Arabidopsis thaliana: one gene and its partner. The protein of the gene in region 1 interacts with the protein of each later gene in a pairwise test. Each region holds a gene or a part of one and is shown in the gene's direction. Other genes may lie near its edges.

Evidence for each region.
Region 2: the proteins of KCO1 (region 1) and CDPK6 interact in a protein complementation assay, tested with the Arabidopsis thaliana proteins (one study listed by BioGRID).

Annotation. Positions count from the first base shown.
Region 1 is NC_003076.8:22,529,750-22,533,638, forward strand, and holds KCO1 (Outward rectifying potassium channel protein), read left to right. Parts: upstream 1-1,608; 5' UTR 1,609-1,687; exon of another isoform or gene 1,688-1,937; 5' UTR 1,938-1,968; coding exon 1,969-2,894; intron 2,895-2,978; coding exon 2,979-3,144; 3' UTR 3,145-3,373; downstream 3,374-3,889. Other genes in the region: AT5G55620 (uncharacterized protein), read left to right, coding at 624-929; AT5G55640 (Na-translocating NADH-quinone reductase subunit A), read right to left, coding at 3,495-3,785, 3,868-3,889. UniProt on the Arabidopsis thaliana protein: Voltage-independent, large conductance and potassium-selective tonoplast ion channel. Regulated by cytoplasmic calcium and pH. Does not mediate slow-vacuolar (SV) ionic currents, but essential to establish VK currents.
Region 2 is NC_003075.7:12,324,202-12,329,625, reverse strand, and holds CDPK6 (calcium-dependent protein kinase 6), read left to right. Parts: upstream 1-1,974; 5' UTR 1,975-2,210; coding exon 2,211-2,620; intron 2,621-2,864; coding exon 2,865-3,151; intron 3,152-3,230; coding exon 3,231-3,374; intron 3,375-3,465; coding exon 3,466-3,618; intron 3,619-3,708; coding exon 3,709-3,824; intron 3,825-3,925; coding exon 3,926-4,093; intron 4,094-4,161; coding exon 4,162-4,289; intron 4,290-4,376; coding exon 4,377-4,476; intron 4,477-4,575; coding exon 4,576-4,659; 3' UTR 4,660-4,868; downstream 4,869-5,424. Other genes in the region: PPT1 (polyprenyltransferase 1), read left to right, coding at 1-95, 285-354, 441-590, 699-764, 1,054-1,189, 1,281-1,377, 1,471-1,540; TRH1 (Potassium transporter family protein), read left to right, coding at 5,335-5,337. UniProt on the Arabidopsis thaliana protein: May play a role in signal transduction pathways that involve calcium as a second messenger. Functions in abscisic acid (ABA) regulation of guard cell S-type anion- and Ca(2+)-permeable channels and stomatal closure.

The DNA of each region.
Region 1 (3,889 bases):
TCAAAAACATAGTATGTTATTTTTAGTTAATATAAATATTAAATACTTTCACCTACTTTCTCCTTGCACACCACAACTGTTTTATACTTGTCCCCACCTAAGATAATGAGTGCATGAATGCATGAACCATCATTGGCCGATGCGTTTCCTGGTGCATGTAGCTCACAGCCGTCGTTCTCACATTTTGTTATTTATGATCATACTTTTTTTTCATTAAAAGGAAAAAGGTTTACTGGTTTGGTTTAGAACAAGAACTACTCGTTATAATCATACTTTTGTTTAATTAAAAAAACAAAAACAAATAATTTCTAGTACATCTTATATTACATACTATAGTTTGATGATAAAAATAAAATTCAAATGACGATTATCATGTCGAAAAGACAAATAATAATTGTCTTACTGACCTACCTGCCTGCCTCTATATATATACTAGTCTTTGGTCGCCTTTACTATAACCAAACATCGAGCTTGCCTTAGAGTTTGTCTCAAGCTTCTCCTTTTTTGGTATTTTGTCTTAAGCTTCCTTGCTTCTCTTTCTTCTTCTTCTCTACTCTTTCTCTCTATTTCAAACCTTCGTTTTCTTTCCTTTTTTGTATAAAATCTTAAAATCAACCAAGACAATGGAAATGAAATTGCTCTTTACATCGGCTTTCACCCAAATGTTCGGCTACTCGAACCATATGGATCAAGCCAGCAACTGCCAAAGCACCCGCAACAAAATTATAAAGATGATGAAGAAAGAAGAATTCCCAAGTGGATTCCAAGTCCCTCTTCACTACCCTAAATACTCCAAGTCTGATTACGAAGTTATGGATGATCTCCGCCTTGACTTGCTCCTCAAACAATATGGATTCTCCTTTGAAGGATCTCTTGAAGACAAGAGGGTTTTTGCAATTGAATCATTTCTCTGGCCTGATCAGCTTTAGATGGTCTATGTTGGTGTTGAATGATCTTATATCGCTCTCCACATGCATATCAATGAGCCTATACTCGAGTGGTTGAATGTTTTTAAAATTATGTCAAATTACCATGTATATCAATCACTTAGTAATGTTTTAGAACTATGTCAAATACTAGTGTGTGTTATATTTCTTTGTGTGTGGGGATGTTTTGAAGTATGCAATTCTTCACATATATATGTATCATATGAGTGCATTAATAACATCTTTGATGTCATGTATAACACTAAAAAAATGTGATTTATCGACTTATAAAAATCTTAACATATTGACATTAACATAAAACATATAGATTATTGTATGATATAGATTAAACATGACGTCATGCTGGATATTTTGGCTTATTGGCTTGTACATTACTTGTGATTATGAGTGTATAATATAAAACTAATTACTAGATTTGCACAAAAAAAAAACAGAAGGATAGAAAACTAACTAGAAAATTAAGACATTACATACATTCTTCTATATGAAAAAAAACATTTAAAAAACAAAACAAAACATTTTTATACTAAGATACTAATGAAAAATCCTATCAAGAAAATGAAGAAGATCATAAAAACAAAATTATCGGATTTGAAGAGAATAAATTTTGACCAAAAAAAAAGAAGATAATTAAAATAAAATAAAAACAAGAATTGGCCAACTGTGAGAACATCATCAATGAAGACCAATTGCGAGATCCGACAACACCGCTTCTTTTGATTTCGATCTTACTTTCCTGGGTATGTCTCAATTCTTCTTCCTCCTTCAGTTCGTGTTCTGTGTCTGATTGATTACTCTCACAAAACTCATCTTTTCATTGTCTAAAGGTCTAATCTTTAGCTATAACTCAAAATCTGTATCTAAGTTCTGACAAGTTTCTGTTACGAAATTCAAATTTTTTGATACATATGTTCATTTCTCAGAACAGGAGATGTCAATTTTGGCGATGGTTTTCGTAACATAAACATGAGATTTGATTGTTCTGTGCAGATCTCATAGTTAATCTGGTTTGAGTCTAGAAATGTCGAGTGATGCAGCTCGTACGCCATTGTTACCCACTGAGAAGATAGATACCATGGCTCAAGATTTCAACCTGAACTCAAGAACTTCTTCTTCAAGAAAACGAAGATTGCGTCGCTCTAGAAGTGCTCCTCGTGGTGATTGTATGTACAATGATGATGTCAAAATCGACGAACCACCTCCTCATCCGAGTAAAATCCCAATGTTCAGTGATCTAAACCCGAATCTCAGGCGAGTGATCATGTTCTTGGCTTTATATCTTACCATTGGTACGCTCTGTTTCTACCTCGTGAGAGACCAGATCTCCGGTCATAAAACCAGTGGTGTGGTAGATGCTCTCTATTTCTGTATAGTAACGATGACAACTGTTGGATACGGTGACCTTGTCCCTAATAGTTCCGCCTCAAGGCTACTTGCTTGTGCCTTCGTCTTCTCGGGAATGGTCCTCGTTGGTCACCTCTTAAGTCGAGCGGCGGATTATCTAGTGGAGAAACAAGAGGCTTTGCTCGTTAGGGCTTTCCATTTGCGTCAAAGCTTTGGTCCAACAGACATTCTCAAGGAGTTGCATACTAACAAGTTGAGATACAAATGCTATGCTACATGCCTTGTCCTTGTAGTCCTCTTCATTGTTGGCACGATTTTCCTTGTAATGGTTGAGAAAATGCCGGTTATCTCAGCTTTCTACTGCGTCTGCTCCACGGTTACAACATTGGGTTATGGAGATAAGAGCTTTAACTCGGAAGCCGGACGCCTTTTTGCTGTGTTTTGGATCTTGACGAGCAGCATATGTTTGGCTCAGTTTTTCCTTTATGTAGCTGAGCTAAATACAGAAAACAAACAGAGGGCGTTGGTGAAATGGGTTTTAACGCGAAGAATCACAAACAATGATCTCGAAGCAGCTGATCTCGATGAAGATGGAGTTGTTGGGTAAGAAAGACATCAGACATATTCTATCTTCTGTTTCCTTCTTCCTCTTCTTATTCTTTTTTTTTTGTCTATTGTGTGTTGCAGAGCTGCAGAGTTTATTGTGTATAAACTGAAAGAAATGGGTAAGATTGATGAGAAAGATATTTCTGGGATAATGGATGAGTTCGAGCAACTTGATTACGATGAATCAGGAACTCTCACGACTTCTGACATCGTTTTAGCTCAGACCACGTCTCAGATTCAAAGGTAAGCCTCATCATCATCATCATCTTGCGAAGACGAATCAGAATCTTTGTTTAGTTATACCTTCACACAACAAAAAGCCGAAGAGAGTGAACAGTTTTTCGAAATTTTGTTTGTTTTTTCCTGTTTGTGTTTGTAATGTAATGCCACACTCTAACTCTTTGATCGTTTCTTGATGCTGAGTGTATAATTTTACATACATCTATACATATGAAGCTCTCTAGTGTTATGCTCCATGACCAAGAATTCATGGATGATTCTCTCAAAGGACAGGGTATGAAGACTGTTTTATTGCTTTAAACTTTTTTGGTATTTTGATTGATACAAAACATTTTCAAAAGATAGCGGTTTCTCGCGTTATGGAAGTCGTCGTTTCTCGAACTGAGATTCATGGCAATGAGGGTCAAGCCAGTCTCTTGAAACACCTTTTCCCATATTAGTTCCTTTCTCTGCACCTGCACCCCCGCCTACAAGCTCTCTTAAGTTAGCCATTTTGTTTTCTCGACCAGAGCCGCTCATTTTCTGATCTGCTTCCTTGAGCATCTGCTTAAACCGCTGCTTGCGGCTCGATGTGTTACTACCACCATCTTGTAGCTGCGAAGGAGGAGCTCCATGTGGTCCTAAGTAGATGTTTTCTTCAGCTTTACTCTACAAAATCATACAATGAGAGATAAAGAGTTAACAACATTTTTTTGAAACTTGTCTTGTACGTAAGAAATCAATCACTAACCTTAGGAGAAGAAGGTTTTGAT
Region 2 (5,424 bases), on another chromosome or scaffold:
GCCAGTGGTCTTTTGACACCATTTCAAGGGATTGGATTTCTCGGGCTGCAGTTGCTTTTAGGCTTAGGGATTCTTCTCCAACTTAACAATTACAGGTTTGTTTGGATTTTTTACTTGCCCTAAAGTCGCGTATTTGCAAGTGTTTGTTTAAAAATTCACATACACATATGGTTCACCCTTATGTAGTTGGCCCAAATTCTGAAGATATGTTCTCAGGTCTTGTCTTTAGTTTTGTGATCAAATTCTTTTCTACTTGAGCTCATTTCAGTATGTATATTCTGCAGCCGTGTTTTAGGGGCTTCATCTTTGTTACTTGTCTTTTCCTACCCACTTATGAAGAGGTTTACATTTTGGGTAATTTAAATCTATTCTGGCTTCTCAAAGTTAGACATTATATATTTTCTGATTTTCTTATGATTGATTCGTTTTTATAATTGCAGCCTCAAGCCTTTTTAGGTTTGACCATAAACTGGGGAGCATTGTTAGGATGGACTGCAGTTAAAGGAAGCATAGCACCATCTATTGTACTCCCTCTCTATCTCTCCGGAGTCTGCTGGACCCTTGTTTATGATACTATTTATGCACATCAGGTATATTCACTTTTTATTTTTTAGCTTCAAAATCTATTTGATTATGACCAGTAGCAAAGTAGTTAATCTCAATGTGTGCATATTGCTTGCTTTGTTTTCTTTTTCTAGCTTCACCACCACAGATTTCTTTTTCAGCTTTTGTTTCATGTCTCATGCAAATGCATCCATTTCGATGTTCGACTTTTGTCAATCATAAAGAAGAAAATTACCCTGATCTCCCACCTTTTCCATCTGATTTCTATACTTTAAGTGAAGAGTTAGCCCCATAAAAGTCTTCCCGTTTGCAACAGAAGTGAGAAAAGAAAGTTACCTTTGTGGCCCATTGAAAATGAAATAGTATATGCCACAAGCTACGAACCCAAAATTTCAGCTCAAGTTCAGTTTTTATGCAAGTAATTTTGAGATATTCTAGGTTAAATCATTTTTTTTCCATGGACTAATGTCTAATATATTGTGTCTCCAGGACAAAGAAGATGATGTAAAAGTTGGTGTTAAGTCAACAGCCCTTAGATTCGGTGATAATACAAAGCTTTGGTTAACTGGATTTGGCACAGCATCCATAGGTTTTCTTGCACTTTCTGGATTCAGTGCAGATCTCGGTACTCAATAAACTTTACAAGGACTCATTTGTGATTCCTAATTCCATTTACTGTCTTTTGATTCTTTTTGTTTCTCGCTCTAATGATTAAGGGTGGCAATATTACGCATCACTGGCCGCTGCATCAGGACAGTTAGGATGGCAAATAGGGACAGCTGACTTATCATCTGGTGCTGACTGCAGTAGAAAGTATGAAAATTTGGGTTTATCTTTTGTACTCTTTCACAATCCAATTATGTGATTTGCCTTGGAAAACCTAATAGTGTTTTTATATCTGTACAGATTTGTGTCGAACAAGTGGTTTGGTGCTATTATATTTAGTGGAGTTGTACTTGGAAGAAGTTTTCAATAAAGACTCTCTCTCTGTCAACGAATGAGGATGAAGCTGTAGTGTGAGGAACCTATATATGAAGAATTGAAGTAGACTTTTGAGACACACTGTAAGTGAAACAGAGGACATGGTCTTGCTACAAAGTGGGTCTCCTTCAGGATTGAAATGATCAAGGAGCCATTGCCAGAAAAGCTGAAACTTAACTCTTTTAGATTAGTGACTAGTTACTACTGGTTCTTGTAAAAGAAGCTATTGTTGTTGTTTGGGATCCATGTCTTTTCTTCCAGGAGGTAGTTTGGCTGTATGTATACAATGATCATGACCTTCTGGTCAAACAAGAGGCTTTACTTTTGGCTTTTATAGTTGACATACGCAATATCATTGATTTTGTAACCTAAAGGATGTTAATAACTTTTCCTTTTTCAATCTCAAATTGCAAAAGATTAACATTGAATTAGCCGTGTGATTGATTGGAGAAGTGGAAACAACTAATATGCAGAAGATTTCCACATCCACTAATTTATCTTCCAATGGGACAAATACTTTTGTTTATACGCGGTTCAACTACGTACCAATAAAAACACGCCACGTGGTCATCGTGTCTGATCTCAGACATTAAAAAGCCATAAGAATCGGAGATACAATCTTTCTCTCTCGATTGACTTTATTGACTGAGAGAAAGCTTTTGACAATGGGCCACAGACACAGCAAGTCCAAATCCTCCGATCCGCCACCGTCCTCCTCCTCCTCTTCCTCCGGCAACGTAGTCCACCATGTTAAACCTGCCGGAGAACGCCGCGGATCATCCGGTTCCGGAACCGTCGGATCGTCAGGCTCCGGAACAGGCGGATCTCGTTCCACCACATCTACTCAGCAGAATGGTCGGATCTTAGGTCGGCCGATGGAGGAAGTACGGAGAACCTATGAGTTTGGTCGTGAGCTTGGTCGTGGCCAGTTTGGTGTCACGTACCTCGTAACTCACAAAGAGACGAAACAACAGGTCGCTTGCAAGTCAATCCCTACGCGCCGCCTTGTTCACAAAGACGACATTGAAGATGTTCGCCGTGAAGTCCAGATTATGCACCATCTCAGCGGTCACCGGTAAATCTCTTTTTTTGTATCTCACTGGAAAATGCTTCTTTGACATTTTCCGAAATCGAATCTGAAACGCCTTTTGTTGGAATATTGGTGAATATTTAGACATAGGATTCGTTTTCTATATTAATGAATGGTTTGCATCATATGTGGATGAAAAGTTTGGTGGTCCTATGTTAAACTCTTGAAAAAGTTTCCCTTTTTGCATATTTATATTTACCTGAGTTTCAAATTGGTGAGTTGATTATAGGAACATAGTGGACTTGAAGGGAGCCTACGAGGACAGACACTCTGTGAATCTGATAATGGAGTTGTGTGAAGGAGGGGAATTGTTCGATAGGATCATTTCTAAAGGTCTTTACTCAGAGAGAGCTGCTGCGGATTTGTGTAGGCAGATGGTGATGGTTGTGCATAGTTGTCATTCTATGGGTGTAATGCACCGAGACTTGAAGCCCGAAAACTTTCTCTTTCTTAGTAAAGATGAGAACTCACCATTGAAAGCTACAGACTTTGGTCTCTCTGTCTTCTTCAAGCCAGGTTTGAACAGCCTCTATCCTTCCCTATTTGATTTCTATAGACAATTTATCCCTCTAATGAAGTTGATCCATTAATGCAGGTGATAAGTTTAAGGATCTTGTTGGAAGTGCATACTATGTTGCCCCAGAAGTTCTAAAACGGAACTATGGACCAGAGGCTGATATCTGGAGTGCTGGTGTGATTCTATACATCCTTCTCAGTGGTGTTCCGCCTTTCTGGGGAGGTATTGTCTTGATCTTATTTGAGAAGAGAATTTGGTTTCACTGTTTAAATGTTGGACTGGAATGTATAGTCACGTTCTTTCTGTTGTGCAGAAAATGAAACGGGGATCTTTGATGCCATTCTTCAAGGGCAACTTGATTTTTCAGCTGATCCATGGCCAGCACTATCAGATGGTGCCAAAGATCTTGTGAGGAAAATGTTAAAATATGACCCTAAAGATCGGCTTACAGCTGCGGAAGTGCTAAGTAAGACCCCTTTATAACATGTTTTGATGAATAAATTGATGAAAACACCTTCTTTTATCCAATTTTAATAACGTTTTGATACATACGCAGATCATCCGTGGATTAGAGAAGATGGGGAGGCATCAGACAAACCGCTTGACAATGCGGTGTTATCCAGGATGAAACAATTCCGGGCGATGAACAAACTAAAAAAAATGGCCCTGAAGGTAATTAAAACACTGATTGAAACAGTCTTACCATCACTATTGTAGTTTATGTAGTCTTCTTGTTCTAAAGCCAATCTTTGGTTTTCGTTTTGCAATTTCAGGTTATCGCTGAGAACCTTTCTGAAGAAGAAATCATTGGTCTTAAAGAGATGTTCAAATCTCTAGACACTGATAACAATGGAATAGTCACCTTGGAGGAATTGAGAACCGGTCTCCCAAAACTTGGTTCAAAGATCTCTGAAGCTGAAATAAGGCAGTTAATGGAAGCAGTAAGTCTATCACAATCCACTACTTTGATGTCAAAGCAATAATGCTTATGATGCTTTGTTTCTTTTAGGCTGATATGGATGGAGATGGATCAATTGATTACTTGGAGTTTATATCAGCCACAATGCATATGAACAGAATCGAACGTGAGGATCACTTGTACACCGCATTCCAGTTCTTTGACAATGACAACAGCGGGTAAAACATTGTTCTTTAGCTCTCTATTTCTTTCTTTAACAAGCTATAAATAAAGTCTCACTCTTTGATCTTGATTTGTGATATTAGCTACATAACAATGGAAGAGCTAGAGCTAGCCATGAAGAAATACAACATGGGTGATGATAAATCCATCAAAGAGATCATTGCTGAAGTAGACACCGATCGTGTAAGTATACGTAAATCTCTGGTTTCGTCCAATTCATACATCTGTAAGTATACGTGTAAGTTTAACACTCTCTTCTCATCTTTGTATTCGAATCTTTAGGACGGAAAAATCAACTACGAAGAATTTGTAGCGATGATGAAGAAGGGAAATCCAGAATTGGTGCCAAACCGACGCAGAATGTGAGAGATCTTTTGATGTTGTTTGTTTGTTTTTGGTTATCACTTTACTCAAACTTTGTGTTTCTGTTACAATCAATTATTTTGTTTCCTGCAATCTCTTTTTATCAACACAACATAAAAAATACTTTGAGATCAGAAAGCCATTTGCAGGTTTGGTTAATGACTTATGAGAGATTCAATATATAATAATTACAGGTTGATTCTTGCATGATTTGAAGCTGAAATTCACTTAAAAAATTATAGAATGATAATCTTAACCCTTACAAACAAATTTGAGATTATATCTAATCAAGGCAATAAAAAAATAAGCAAGGTGCAGTAGGAGGGATTAGAAGTTTCAAATCCGATTTTTATACATGAAAAATGACGAAATCTAATAATCTTGGTGACATTTTCTCACAGAGAAATCGGACAACTAAAATGAGTAAAAAAAATTAAAAGAACGAATAAAAAATCAACTGAGATATATATAAAAAAAAAACTGGAAGAAGAAGAAGGACCGCGAGCTTTGGATCGAATTTGTTAAATTTTTCTTCTCTCGATAATAAAAACAACAAATGATCGTTGATCGTTTTTCTCTAGATTCGATTCCGATTCCAAAGAACTAGTCTCCGGCGTGTAATCTCTGATCGTTGAAGATCCAAGCTACGCCGCATCTTACTCGCCGGCGGCTTGAATCATGGTATGTCGCTCCCTTCTCTCGACCGATACGTCGGAAATCTTAAACCCCTAGATTCCTTATTGCTACTCCTGCGGAATTACAATTGTT